3 linked regions of the Oryctolagus cuniculus genome follow. The protein of the gene in region 1 purifies or fractionates together with the protein of each later gene. This does not show direct contact. Links are inferred from orthologs where the notes say so. Each region holds a gene or a part of one and is shown on either strand. Other genes may lie near its edges.

The links. Proteins that work in one complex are often made in the same cells at the same time.
Region 2: the proteins of LYN (region 1) and ANKRD54 purify together in Homo sapiens (affinity purification with mass spectrometry; 3 studies listed by BioGRID and IntAct, with this or other methods). This does not show direct contact. The link is inferred for Oryctolagus cuniculus from reciprocal best matches to the Homo sapiens genes LYN and ANKRD54.
Region 3: the proteins of LYN (region 1) and PLCG2 purify together in Homo sapiens (affinity purification with western blotting; 3 studies listed by BioGRID, with this or other methods). This does not show direct contact. The link is inferred for Oryctolagus cuniculus from reciprocal best matches to the Homo sapiens genes LYN and PLCG2.

The regions. Positions count from the first base shown.
Region 1 is NC_091437.1:81,206,050-81,210,864, reverse strand, and holds part of LYN (tyrosine-protein kinase Lyn), read right to left. Parts: intron 3,088-4,815; 5' UTR 3,083-3,087; coding exon 2,951-3,082; intron 1-2,950. UniProt on the Homo sapiens protein: Non-receptor tyrosine-protein kinase that transmits signals from cell surface receptors and plays an important role in the regulation of innate and adaptive immune responses, hematopoiesis, responses to growth factors and cytokines, integrin signaling, but also responses to DNA damage and genotoxic agents.
Region 2 is NC_091442.1:114,671,304-114,676,118, forward strand, and holds part of ANKRD54 (ankyrin repeat domain-containing protein 54), read right to left. Parts: intron 3,483-4,815; coding exon 3,384-3,482; intron 1,806-3,383; coding exon of another isoform or gene 1,801-1,805; coding exon 1,734-1,800; intron 726-1,733; coding exon 589-725; intron 520-588; coding exon 395-519; intron 262-394; coding exon 154-261; intron 1-153. UniProt on the Homo sapiens protein: Plays an important role in regulating intracellular signaling events associated with erythroid terminal differentiation.
Region 3 is NC_091449.1:63,944,910-63,949,724, reverse strand, and holds part of PLCG2 (1-phosphatidylinositol 4,5-bisphosphate phosphodiesterase gamma-2), read right to left. Parts: coding exon 4,802-4,815; intron 3,832-4,801; coding exon 3,742-3,831; intron 3,340-3,741; coding exon 3,164-3,339; intron 1,499-3,163; coding exon 1,298-1,498; intron 368-1,297; coding exon 248-367; intron 1-247. UniProt on the Homo sapiens protein: The production of the second messenger molecules diacylglycerol (DAG) and inositol 1,4,5-trisphosphate (IP3) is mediated by activated phosphatidylinositol-specific phospholipase C enzymes. It is a crucial enzyme in transmembrane signaling.

The sequences.
Region 1 (4,815 bases):
CCCAGAGTTGGGAGGGGCCTGGTGGTACCACAGTTCACCTTGGTTACATTTAGCTCAAATTCCTCTTTCCTGCAGTGGCACAGTGAGGCTCATCTAAGGAAGGTACTCTCAGAGGCCTCCACCACAACCCATGTAACATTCTGTTTCTCTTTGATGAAAGTGATTTCATGGACAGTTTATACTGAAATTACAATTTGAATTTCTGATCAACATCAGCCAATTATCTCCACTTCATCAGGGTGGGTGGGTGGGGACGATTGCTGTACTGTGAAATCCGAAAATCCATTCCATACCATCCTTCAATACTTCAAGAAGTTTTATACTGATTTTGCAGTCACTTAGATTTGCATAATTAGGATGTCTGATCTATTCTATATGATTTAGAGGAAATAATCAGAAGATGAGAAGCTGAATAATTCTGAAAGCAGCAAATTGAGTTTCTAATATCAAAGCACCTTAATTTACAAACATTTTAACAGCCTTCGTACAACCAAAACACGTATGTGTGACTCCACGTCACTGCTCTAGCTTTTTCCCTAAAATGGCTTTTGCTAGAGTACCACTGAATTTGCATCAATTTCACCCCACTATCTCATCAGGTTCCTCTGTAATCAATCCAGGATGTGTGTTTAGGGACAGCTGAGTGGGCCTGAGGGTGTTATCTGTAGCCATGGAATGAGCTCAAACTCACCAGCTCACAAATCAAGGGCACTTGTGACCACAGAAGGCATAAACTAAAATATTTACAGTACACATGATGGAATTGAAAGACTTTGGACATGTTCATTACTTCTGCTTTCTAGCTTGATTTCTAATGACTTATACTCTGAACAAGAGGCAAAAATGATGTGTACATTTGTATTTGTCTCTGCTTTTCTGAATAAAGGATGCCTTGGTCTATCATTTAAACACAGAAACAGAAAGAACAAAAAATGCTTGGGTTTTAAAGACTGTATAACAGATGCACATGATGCCAGGAGAAAACAGATCCTCTCATGAGAACTTTGAAGTCTATAAGGAAACTCTTTGTGATTCCAATTCCCCTTATGTTACTTTCTACTAATCATAGCTATATGATATCTAGTTTTGCATCTGTAATACCTATGTTTTACAATACTATATATATGTTATCATTAAATTATCATAGCTATTGATATTCTTACATACTTTGAGAATAAAAATCACAATGTGAATTTATCCAAAAACATCACATATGAAGCTTCATAGCATAATATATTGACTCTTTGTCTCCTTTTAATAAGGCTAACTTGGAGTTGTCATTCTCAGTGATGACACGTGACTTTGACATGTGACTCTAACATGGGATTAATATGTTCTACCCTCAAGGTAATGGAAAAAGGCTGGGGGGAGGGCAGACAGATGGACTTAGAACACATTTCTAAAATGATAAGACTTTTAAAAGCATGTCAGACTAAACCTATGAAAACTTTTTTCTTAAAAGACTTATTTATTTGAAAGGCTGAGTCATAGGGAGGGAAAGAGGGTAAGAGAGAAACAAGGAGACAGAGAGAGAGAGAGTGAGAGAGAAAGAGGGCACTTCTATCCACTGGTTCACTCTCCAAATTCACATATGCCAGGACTGGGCCAGGCCAAGGCAGGGGCCTAGAACTCCATCTGGGTCTCCCATGTGGGTGGCAAGTACCCAAGTACCCAGACCATGATCTGCTGCCTTCCCAGGCCAGTAAGTAGGCAATTGGATAGGAAGCCGAGAAGCTAGTACTCAAACAAGTATTCCAATACAGGATGCCGGCATCACAAGCAATGGCTTAATGTGCTCCACCACAATGCTGGCCTTGAAAATTCTTAATGAAGGCATTTCAGCTACCCTGGAATAAGCCGTTTCTAGCTTAAATGCCGAGGAATTCCATAAAACCATGCTTTAAAAGGATATGTGTATGTATATATATATATAGTGAGAAAATAGTTGCAAAGGACATAAGATCTGAAATAATGCAGATTTAAAGTTGCAATTAATTTAAAGTTGTAATTTCTATAACATGCCATATTACTGCCAATAATTTCCCAGATGTACTGAATAATATAAAACAAAATTACTATGTAAGGGCACATATTTGATCTAGGAGTTAAGATGTCCACATCCCACATTGGTGAGCTGGGATTTGATACTCTTCCAGCTTCTGATTCCAGTTTCCTGCTAACGTTTACCTTGGGACCCAGTGGTGATGGCTCAAGTAGTTGGGGAATTCCAGCTGGGGGAATCTGGATTGAGTTCCATACTGCTGGTTTTGGCCCCAATTCACAGCCTGTTATGGGCATTTGGGGGAATGAACCAGCAGATAAGAGTCACTTGAGCACTCTCTCTCTCTCTCTCCCTCTCTCTCTCTCTCCCTCTCTCTCTTTCTCTGCTTTTCAAATAAAAAAATTCTAGTGCAAGCATTTCTCTAAGGTTAAGGGGTAGAATTAGATGTGCTTTCTTCTTAATCTTTCAATTCACTATAACAAATTATGACAACTTTAATACCTGCTATTTTAATATAATCGAAGAAATGACAAGGCATGACAAAGAATGCTATGCCAAAGACATATTAACAACAAACTTAGTTTTTGAATTAAATCTTGCACTTCCTTTTGCTTCCAGACCACCAGGCTAATCTTAATACCTATCCTAAGTCATACAGCCTGTATCTATGTGGACATAGTGGGGTCTTCACACTGGTAATATGAAAGGTTGTATTCTCCACGCATGAGAAGTTGACTGAAGGCCTGTTGATTACCCAGTACACAGCATGATTATCCCTACAATGCTTACATGATCTTCAAAGGATGAAGTTACAAAGCGTATCAGAAATTATTTGAGGCCCAAGAAATCAACGTGAATTTTTGCATGCACATATTTCAGACTGGTGTACACCATGCAGCCATGCTTTGATCCTGCTGTGGGAATTCTCCCCTGAGACTATCTACTTACTGGCCTCGGCTGTTTATTGGACGTTGGATCTCTCACATAAATAGTTCGGTCAGTATTACGTACTGGTTGAGTCTTCAAATCTACTCCATCGTCATTCAGATTGTCTTTCCTTTTTGATTTTATACATCCCATATTTCCTGTTGGATATAAAAGCAATGACATTGTTTTACCATTCCAGAACTGGCTTCAAACCACCACAATCTCTCCATTAAAGAGGAGGAAAAGAATATACTCTGTTTTCTATTGTACACAGATTAATGCATGCAAATGTAGACACCGTCCATTTATGCATTCATTCATCCCTTCACTCATTTATCAACAAATATTTACTGAGTACGCACTTTATGTCAGCCAGACAGAATGTTTTCTCCAACTAGTTTATAGTGCTGTGGCGAATGCGTGCGAGTTCAAATCGCAGTACAATGCAGCGAGTCACTGACGGAGGTTGCACAGGACCTCAGAAAGGGCATCTACCTTAGGCAAGAGAAGCAGGAAGTGCTCAGGGAGAGCTCCCTGAAGGAAATGCTGCAAGTTGGTCATGTGGCAAAGTTGATAAAGGGATTCCAGGAAGAAGGTACTCAACAGGTCACCTTGGTGACATGTATGTGATCAAATCCACTAAGATATCTGAGTCTGGCCACCAGGAGAGGTGGCAGAACTGGATGCACACCGAGGACATCCAGGAGCCCTGACTGTGGAGGTAGGGTCATCATGGTAGAAGGGGGACTCAGTCACAGGAGCAGCACCTGGAGTGCCTGCTGACATGCACCTAAACCCCGAGCTCTTTCATTTCCTTACTCAACTAACAAGAGCAGGCTGGGCAGAGCACGGCACAAAGCACTCTGGGGGCTAAAAAGAGGATTTGGAAAAATTTGAATCAGCTGTGGCTCTTGCCTTACCGTGTAGTCTCAGGGTCCAATCTACACATGAAAAACAGAACTAAATCTGCTGTGCACTGCATCCGGAGGTTCTACAGGGCAGCGGTTCTCACAGAACAGTTTCTCTGGATTCACGCCAGGAAATTCTTCCGGGGTCCGGCGGGGGCACCTTGCTCCCCATGTGATCTGTGTAATTCTGAAGTGCTGTCAGATTTGGGGGCTACTGCCCAGATTCAGCATTTGGGGCCCGGGAGGAGAGATGAGGCAATACCTCGGGGGAGCCACGGCTGGAGGAAACCTCCCTTCTTCTCTGCAGCCTGTCCCACCGCCACATCACCCACTTGTTTATCATTTCATTCGCTGAGCTCCGAAGCTCCTAAAGGGCAGCCCCACCCCTCTCTGAAACTGTCAAGCTGCAGTTCCCAAAATAAAGGGGAAGCAAGTACTTCTTTGATTCAAAACAGCACATTTTTTAAGATGTTAAAGTTCTGAAAGGGAGGTGGGCAGTCAAGTTGGCCTGGAAATCAGAATGTGAGCGCTTTTTTCTATAGCTCTCCATCCCCTCCCAAAGCTATGGCCAATGGATCAGTCCTGAAAGTGATACATTGTCCACGAGGAAATATAGTCCTATAAAGCTCTGGCAACAGGACCCCCAGCACTCATTCTGAGAGCCCCAGGGGGAAGGATGCCTCGGAGGGTCCTCTCAACCCATCACACACCAGCTCTGTCTCTGCACTGGCACCACCAGGTGCACACAACACCCCAACCCCAGCATGCAGAAGACCCCAGAGGCCCGGGCTGGGGCTGCCCGGGCTAGGATGGAAGCTGAAGGGGCAGCTTCCTCTCTGGTTCCCAGCATGGAAAGCAGAGGCTGCCCAGAGAAGGTGCTCAAAGACTGTTCAATGAAAGAAGGAGCAGACGCGGTGCTACTATGGCTGCCCAGGCTGGCTCATCAGGACTCCTCTTGCTAAAAGATGCTCAGGGAGA
Region 2 (4,815 bases), on another chromosome or scaffold:
TACTCGACAGCAGGCGGTCTGGGGCTGCCCAGGAGAGCTGGCCACGCACGGGCAGAGGCTTGCGGGCCGCGGGGGCTGCCGCCCCGCAGGCTCAGCCCGACTCGAGGTCAGACTGCAGCGGCTGGGTGCACTGGCCCCGAGGCTGCGGCTCACCTGCTCTTTGGTGCTTGTCATCTGCAGGCGGGTGCAGAGGTCATCCAGCCGCTCGCGCTGCTCGTGGCGCCCCAGGCGCTCCAGGTACTCCCTCAGCATCTGGATGATCTGGAACAGAAGGTGAGCCGGCTACCCAGGCCCCCCCTGGGGACACGGGGGCCCAGGCTGCCGCCAGCAGGCACCGCGGAGCAGGGGCCAGCGCGGGCACCCGTGCGGGAGGGCGGCGCCGAAGGCGGCTCACCTGCTTCACCTCCAGCCGCACGGCCTCCAGGCACTGGGAGTGGCCCTCCTGCAGGATGCTCAGCTTCGACTTGGCCAGGTGCAGGGGCGTGCGGCCAGCTCGGTCCAGGGCGTCGACCCGGGCGCCTGCGAGGACAGGCGGGAGCCATCACGCTGGGCGAAGGTGAGGACGGGGGAGGGGAAGAAGCCACCTACCTCCTCGCAGCAGGGTGGTGATCACAGGCACGTGGTTGGTGCAGGCCGCTGGGGAGGAGCAGACGCAAGAATTCAGAACCCGGGGCCCAGCGTCGCGGCGCAGTGGGCACAGCTGCCGCCTGCAGTGCCGGCGTCCCCTGCGGGCGCCGGTTTGAGTTCCGGCTGCTTCACTTTTTTTTTTTTTTTTTTTTTTAAGATTTATTTACTTATTTGAAAGAGTTACAGAGAGGGAGAAGCAGAGGCAGAGAGACAGAGAGAGGTCTTCTATCCGCTGGTTCACTCCCCAAATGGCTGCAATGGCCAGGTCTGGGCCAAAGGCAGGAGCTTCATCCAAGTCTCCCACGGGGGTGCAGGGGCCCAAGCACTTGGGCCGTCCTCTGCTGCTTTTCCTGCTGGATTGCAAGTGGAGCACCCAGGACTCCAACTGGCGCCCACAAGGATGCCAGAGCTGCAGGCGGAAGCTTTACTCGCTACGCCACAGCCCCGGCCCCGGCTGCTTCACTTCTGATCCAGCTCCCCGCTAGTGGCCTGGGAAGAGCAGCGGAAGACGGCCCAACTGCTTGGGCTCCTACCACCGATATGGGGGCCTGAAGAAGCTCCTGGCTCCTGGCTTCAGCCTGGCCCAACTCTGGGGAGTGAATCAGTGGATGGAAGATCGCTCTCTGTCTCTCCCTATCTCTCTGCAACTCTTTTAAATGAATAAATCTATATACATATAAAAAGAGTTCGGTACCCTCAGCCTGGCCCTGTGTGCCTGCAAGAGGGAGCATGCCTGTGCCAAGTGACGCCCCCTGGGGAAGGGTCACCAAGGTGTCAGCTGGGCAGGACTCGGCCATCAAGTCCAAGTCCCTCCCTGCATGGCCGAGGAAACTGAGGCCTGCAGATGGGACCTGCCCGGCACGAGTGACAGTGCAAGCCGGTGAGGGGCGCAACCAGCCAAGGCCTCGGGCCACATCTGCCCAGTGGGGCTGCCAGAGCAGCTGTGCTGAGGGCAGAGCCGACTCCCGAGAGCCTGGAAAGCCGTGGACCCAGGCCGGTGGGACAGCAGCCGGGGATCGGGCTCTCCCCCCACCCCACGCTGGGAGAACCTGCTGGGAGCCCGTCTATGCAGCCCAGCAGCTGTCTGGGCCTCAGGAGGCGCTTACCCAGGTGGAGCGGTGTGTTCCCCAGCCCGTCTCGCTGGTTGGGATCGGCCCCGTGGTCCAGGAGGAGCTGCACTGAAAAGAGGGAAGCCCAGGAGGCCTGTGGGAGGCGCCTGTCATCCCCGCTTCCCGCCACGGTGAGGCAGGGGGCGCCCCTCCTACGCTAGCGAGGCCTTGCGCAGAGTGTGGGACCCAGATGGCACAGCGCCTCCCTGTTGTCCCCCCACTAGTCACCACTTGCTCACACACTCAGCCACCCACTGACTCAACGGGATTCATGTGCAGGACTCTAGGGCAGGACCTGGGGGCTCCAGGGGCCTCCTGGCCTTGGCAGGTGTTGTGGGTCCCAGACCTCACAGCTGAGCGTTCTCCCAATAGCAGTGGCTGCAGGCATGGGCTCTCAAGGGCGTGTTTCGTCCTCCACAGCGAGGCCTGTGGACGATGTCACCCTGCCCTCCTGGGTGGTCTCTGGGCCCCCTGAGCGCCAGGGCTGTGCCATCGGCCGGGTTTGCCTACTGCCTGATGGACGGGCTGAGTCTAGGACAGGGAACAGGGCGACCAGGCTGAGCCTCACGTGATATCCAGGAAGTATTGAGAGGCGTCACGGGTGTAAATGTGAAAGCCACAGTAGTCAGGCTCTGGGAGAACACCCAGCACCCCCGACAAGCGACAAGCAGAGGAGAAGACTGATACATTGTCCTTCCTAAAACACCGTGTAACTCAAAAGACGTCCCTCAGAGAACAAAAGGCAGGCTAAGCACGTCATCCTTTACGTCAGGGACTTCTGTGCAGAACACAAAACGCTGCAGTTCTAAAGACATCTTGCATGGGAAAATGGCCCAAGGACTTGAACAGACACGCACAAAGGAGGATGTTGAAATGGCCAGTAAGTGCTGGCGCGGAGAAATGCAAATTAGACCCCAGCCAGAACGCTAAGTGGCAAAGACAGAGAGGGCTCCGGCAGGGGTGTGGGCAGGCGTGGCGCTCTCGGCCCCTCAGCACCCACCTGGGGAGAGAGCCGCCAGGCTTCCACTCCGGACGTCGCCCCCTACAGGTGAGGGCGTGTACGTACAAGAACCGTCACCTGGAAACCATGCCAATGCCAATGGCCCAGCAGGATGGGGCCGGGGCTGTGTCACACCGGGACGTGGGGAGGCAAGCTCCCGGCACACACACGCAAGCACGGATGGTCGCGCGGACATAGCGGTGACCGAAAGAGCACGCCGGGGGCTTCCACGGACGTGAACTCCACAGACAGGGAACCCCAGTCGTGGTGGACACGGTCCCCCCGGGGGAGAGGACTGGGAGAGATTCTCCATCTTGATCTGGTGGTGGCTCCCCCACAGTGTGAGCACACGCACGCACACACACACACACACCACAAGTCACACCATAATTTTTCAAAAGACACCTTTAATAAAAGGAGCCACTGCTGTGGCTGCCTGAGCCAGCGGTGCCTGAATGAAGACCTCTGAGGCCTGGGCCTGCCCCTGCCCGGTCTTCACCCTGGGGAGGGCGAGGGCCAGGGCACTTGGGTGCCAGGCTGCCAGTCCCCAGCACACGTGGGCATCCTGAGGCTGTGCAGCCAGCCGCGCCTCCCCCCGCCCCGAGACACTGCTTGCCACGCCTGCCCCCTCCTCCCCCAGGACTCACCAATGCGGTCATTGCCATTGCAGGAGGCGAAGTGGAGAGCCGTGCGGCCCTTGTCGTCGGCTGCGCAGGGATCCGCGCCGTCTTCCAGAAGCTGCTGCACTGACGTCACCAAGACAGAGGGAGAGGACGGGCGAGAGAGCGGCAGTGTTAGCTCGGCTGCAGTCCCCGGCGGGCGGGGCGGGATGCTGGGGTCCCGGCAGACCAGGCCTGGACAGTGGGTGGGCACCCAGGAAGGTGCCGGCTCCACGGGGGCTGTCCTGGCGGGGGCTGGTCTCCTGAGGGCGCCGATGTGGGGGCCCAGACTGTGAGGAGGGGCAGAATGTCGCCAGAGGCTCCCGGGCCTCAGGTAAGAGGGTCTAGAGTGACAGACACCCCCAGCACAGACCGCGGCCCATCCTCAGCCTGGGGACGCGTCCGTTCCAGCTGGACTCGGCTCGGGGCAGCCTGCGGTGGACAGCGCGGGCTCTGCAGCCACACAGACCGAGCCGTGGGAGAAAAGAGAGGACTGCGCTGCCCACAGCACGGGGCAGCACGCAGAGCCGGCGGGAGAGCAAGGCCTGATGGGGACTCTAGTCCCCCTGCAAATGGACTGACCTGAGCCCTGCCAGCCGACAGCCACTCTGCTGAGATAACGGATGGGAAGTTCCTCCGCTGAGACGCAGAGGTGCTAGGAGACGGGAGGCATTGCGTGCTAGCGGCCACGTCCAGCGGGGACGGGAAAACTGCTGCCCAGCACCACTCACGCGAGGCCGCTGCAGTCTCGCCCGCAGCGCCCTCTGCAGCGCCCCTCACCCTGCTGCCCTAATCCCCACCCCAGCCAGAGCCGGGACGCGGGCACCAGCCAGGCAGGAACCCGCGGCGGAGCCCTCCAGGGCCTAGCAAGGGCCACGCCCCTTTTACAGGTCCTTTCTGATCCGAAGGCTCAGGCTCAGCCCAGAGAGAGCATCAAGGCCCAGGCTGCCTTCCCCAGGGAACAGGAGGCAACGCTGGGCATAAGCCTGCGTCACGGCTCCAGACCTCACACCTCCCGAACAAACACACCATTCAGCTTTCTGCAGGCTTTTACAACAGTGCCACTTTCTAGTCGAACACACACACACGTACGGTGAAGATCTATTTTTACTTATTTGAAAGGCAGAGTGACAAAGAGAGGGAGAGACAGAAAGAAAGAGATCTACCTCTGGCTCCCTCCCCAGGTGGCAGCAGCGGCCAGGCTGAAGCCGAGCGCCTAGAACTCCGTCTGGGTCTCCCACGTGGGTGCAGGGCCCAGGCACTGGCATTAGCAGGGAGCCGCAAGGAAGAGAGCAGCCGGGACTCGAACTCGTGCTCTGGAGCGGGATCCTGGCGATGTAGGTGGCAGCTTAGCTGCTGCACCACAGTGCCAGCCCCAAATGCTCCTAGCGTTTTATCTGTTTATAATTTGGGTGTCACT
Region 3 (4,815 bases), on another chromosome or scaffold:
GTGGCGTCGCAAGGGCACTCAGTAAGTTTCAGGTTTTGCAGGGATTTTGGATTTCAGATGTCCAGACCAGGCAGGCTCAGCCTGTACTCCAGAGAACACGCGGGAACCTCAGAGCGCCTGGTGCACGAGCAGGGCACACACACGCTGCTGTGGCCGTCGCGTGCTTGTCCATGCTGGGGGAGAGGACGCTGCGGGGCAGGCCTCTACCCGAAGCCCCGCCTCTGCCGTCCCCACCTGTCCCTGCTACCTGAAGGTGATGGCGTAGGAGTCGCTTCCTTCCCGCCTGCGGATCAGGAACGCGCCGTCCCGCGGGATCCGCATGAGCATGTCCTCGGCTTCCCCGCGGCTCAGCGCATCGTAGAACCACCTGCAGCCCAGGGAGGCCAGCGAGACACCAGGTGAGGGCCCGCCCTGGGGAACGCAGGCCACCACCCACGGGGCATGGAAGCTCGGGACCCAGGGGCTTGCAAACTGCCCGGTGGGCTTCCCCAGACAAAAGCAGCGTGGAAAACAGCAAGGTTTGAAAAGACCACTAAGAGACCAAGTGCACCTGCGTGGGCATGAGAGGAAAAGCCACCTCATCACCACGCGGCCTGCCCAAGCCCAGGTTGTTGCAGCGACTCAGCAAATCCGAGGCAGGGAACGTGAGTGACGGTGCAGGAGGAGGTTTTTAAATTTTTCTTGGTTATTTCTTAAGAGGTGAAAGGCTGTAGGAGCAACCCAGATGGAAAGGGACAGGAAAAGTTCCCCGCCTTCCACAAAAATGTGCCTTTTGGCTCAAAAGTGGATTTTTCTTGTTTACTTCCAGAACGTGTTGACCCTCTGCCAGGCATGATCTGGTACTTCCCTGAACAGAGAACTGGAGGGCACACACTTGCAGCTCTTGTCCTTGTTCATGGTTAGAACAACAGGAAGGGGCTTCCACAAGCAGACGCTGTGGGCCAAAATGAACTTCGAAAACCAAAGGCCAGGACCTCAGGATGCGGAAGGTCAAGCAGAAGCAAAGCGAGGAGGGGGCACGGGCGAGAGGAAAGGAACACGGGCCACCGGCAGCAGGCAGGAGGAATCTGCCTCCCCTGGGAACTGGGATACCCAGGGCCACCGGCAGCAGGCAGCAGGAATCTGCCTCCCCTGGGAACTGGGATACCCAGGGCCACCGGCAGCCGGCAGCAGGCAGCAGGAATCTGCCTCCCCTGGGAACTGGGATACCCAGGGCCACAGGGGCCCTCCAGGGCGGCCCCTCTGACCAGTGCACCTGACCCCAGGCTGTGTGCCTCCCACCAACCCCACCACGTACGGCTTCGACTCGTGAGGGTTGGGGTTGGGCACGGGGTCGGTGAGCTGCAGCTCGAACTCGGTGCAGCGCAGGTGCGCCTCGCGGTAGTGCTGGATGAGGGCGTAGATGCTGGTGAACTTGAGGTTGTCAGTCAGGTAGTACTTCGTGGTGCCGCCCTCCACGGTGGAGCGGATCAAGCAGTGCTGGACACGGCCGGATCGCCTGCAGGGAGGGGACGCTGTTGGGGCCAGCTGGGCCAGGCCCGGGCGCGGGGTCGGGGGTGGGGGGGTGGCAGAGCACTCCAGCCAGACCCCGGGGATGACTCCTGCTGTGGCCACACGGCCTTCCCTCTGCCCCCACAGCAGACCCAGGGCGATACCGCAGTCTGGTCCTTTTGCCTGGAATACAGAACCTCCCGGAAGGATTTTTCCTGTCCACTGCCTCCTCTTTGTCTACTTAACTCCTACTCTGGATGCCCAGCTGCAAATCCCAGCTGGGCCACCTCCGAGCTAAGTGTCCTTGAGCAAGTGACCCGTCCTGTATGAGCCTCAGTTTTTTCATCCTAGAGGTCAAAGGGAAGGTCACAGCATCTCTGGAGGTGACCGCGACCACACAAGAGATGAACCTGGAGCGCCACTGCCCAGCACGCAGCCGCCCCCAGAGCCGACAGCTCCCTCACTGCTGCACTGCTATTAAGACTTGCACCCCGGCCAGCGCCGCGGCTCACTAGGCTAATCCTCCGCCTGCAGCGCCGGCATCCCATATGGGCAGCGGGTTCTAGTCCCGGTTGCTCCTCTTCCAGTCCAGCTCTCTGCTGTGGCCTGGGAGGGCAGTGGAAGATGGCCCAAGTGCTTGGGCTCCTGCACCCACTTGGGAGACCAGGAGGAAGCACCTGGCTCCTGGCTTTGGATCGGCACAGCACCGGCTGTAGCGGCCATTTGGGGAGTGAACCAACGGAAGGAAGACCTTTCTCTCTTTCTCTCTCACTGTCTATAACTCTGTCAAATTAAAAAAAAAAAAAAGACTTTCACCCCCAGCTCTCCTCTTCTCTGAATCTTCCCCTCTGTGCCCCCAAGGCTGCGCCGGGTCCTCCCTCGCAGACTTTCTCACCCCCCGCCCACACTGCACGAGTTCCCTCTGAACTCGCTCTGTTACGGCCTTCCGGAATCTCCGCTGTTTCCATCACACCCATCACAAAGTCAAGTGCGCAGTCAGCCCTCGGACTCAGGGGGATTGGTTCCACAAGCCCCCATAGAAGGCAAAATCCGTGCATGCTCCAGTCCCTTCAGTGACGTGGAGCAGTGTCTGCACAGAACCCACACCCAGCCCCTTAAAGCGTCCCTAGACCACTGAGCAGCCTTCAACGCAATGCAAGTGCTAACTGAACAGCTGCCATGCCCTGCTGCTCACAGAACAGCGACAGGAAAACACAAGTCCAGACTCGTGCAACACAGACTCAGTCCTGTCCAGGCATTCTCCATCTGGGGCTGGCTCAGCCTGCAGACGCAGAACCTGCAGGCACAGAGGCCGGCTGTGTCATTGCTAGGACTGCTTTTCCAGGGACTATGTTCACCGCTAAATTACTCTGCCTAGGCAGACAGCAAGCGCTCAATAAATTCAGTGAATAGAGCTGTCCAGGGCCAGGATTAGGGGCGGCAGGTGGGCCCGCACCGTCCAGGTGCAGGGTCTGATCTCGTCTTCATTTCAAATATTCGTATTCTGACTCCTGCATTGGAATGTCACTCATCCTGACGAGTGAGGCTCAGTGCTGCACACTCTGGTCCTGGGCCAGCACAGCCCCCTCAGCGAGGCCTGGGGTCCAGGCTCCAGCCCCAGCATGAGGCCTGCTCCCACCCAGCCAGCTCCGACGGGGAGAGAGGGCATTACCAAAAGGACAGGGTGTACTTGTCCGGGTAGGTCTCGCTCTCGCGCACCAGGAATGTGCCATCCTTGCCCCCTGTCTCGGCGCAGTAGTCTTGCAGAAGTTTCTCGGCACTCATCCGCTTCTCGACCTTCTTGTGAAACCATTTCTCCCCAAAATGCAGCTCCGTGGGGGGCGTATCCTGGGCCACAGAGAGAAGAGTGGTCTCCGACAGCTGCCACTGCCCTCGCCTGCCTGCGACCTGCCCCTGTGGTCCTGAGACACAGGGTCCCCCCGCCACACACACACACACACACACACACAGCCCTCAATTCTGTTCTCCAGGAGGTCTGAACGCCCTCCCACTCTGGGGGTCCACTCAAGGCAGCTGGAGGGGAGAGGACAGGCAGTGAGCATCCCCAGGGAGCACAGACCACGATCCAAGGCCAATCAGGCCTTTCAGGAAGCAGGAAAGAGCCTCGAACCTTATTGGTCAAACAAACAGTCCAACCAGCCAACCAGAGAAGAGCCAGCTGGAACTTGGGTCCCCAAGAGGCAGCAGTTAAGGGCTGAGAAGCACAGGTGCGGCTGGGTCCCCGCCTACCTGGGGCGGCTCTTCCTCCACCGCCTGCTCTATGTCGTCACTGAAAGACAGCTTGGCATCGGCGATGGCACAGTAATGTCGCGTCCACTTCTAGGAGGAGAAGCCAATGTCAGTGTCTCCCAGGGTCTCAGCCCCGGGGATCTGGGGCCCCGGGCTGGCAGCACCTCAACATTCGCGGGCAATGTCTCCTTGCAATGACAGATATTCACCCTGATTGCACAGAACCTGCACCTTCTGAGGACGCTCCCTGTATAAAACATCTACCCCAGGCTTCTCGTTTTCAGAACTTCTAAAGTGGTGTGGTCTCAGGACCTAGTGCCGAATTTTGAGAGCGTATTTATGCAGCCTGCAGCCTCTCAGGAAAGGGGTGGCACAGTCTGCTGGGTCCTCATGACTTTTTTTTCCTGTTCCACCTGATTTCTAAGACTTCTGGGATTTTTTTTTTCCAGCCAGTTTGTCTTGAAGACTTTTCCTGCAACATTTCATGGTGATTTTTTATTTTAACCATTTTTTTTTTCACTTCTCTCCAGGATATGTAAAACTACACTCAAATGGATTTGCCATGTTTGGTTCAGGGATATGAGAAGTGACACGAGATGCCTACAGTCACTGCATAGCAAGGCTTCTGGGGGAGCAGTGCCACATCCAAGGATACCCGGAGTTAAGGCAGCCACATGCATGCAGCATCCTGCACAGAACCAAGCGCTGAACCTGAAGGTCGATCAGTGAGCGCACAGGACCGTGAGGGCACCACTGGTGTTCCGAGGCCCAGGCTGACACCACGGTTAGCTAAGGAGCTGCCACAGGGCAATCGGGCGAAGGCTCTGTGCAATCTCCGGTACTACCGTGCAGCTGCAAACGCGTGTTATGTTGATTATGAAATTATTTCTAAATAAAACCTCAGCCTGCAGAACAGTTTTAGGAGAGAAATTCGCTCAGCAAATTTTCATTTCACTCCACATGGGAGCAACGCTGGGATACACTCAGAGCTCCCCAACCCCGTTCTAAGAAGGGCCGGGAGGTCTGCGGGCCCCGCGGCGTGAGGAGGGCCCAGGCGCACCTGGTCGATGGAGT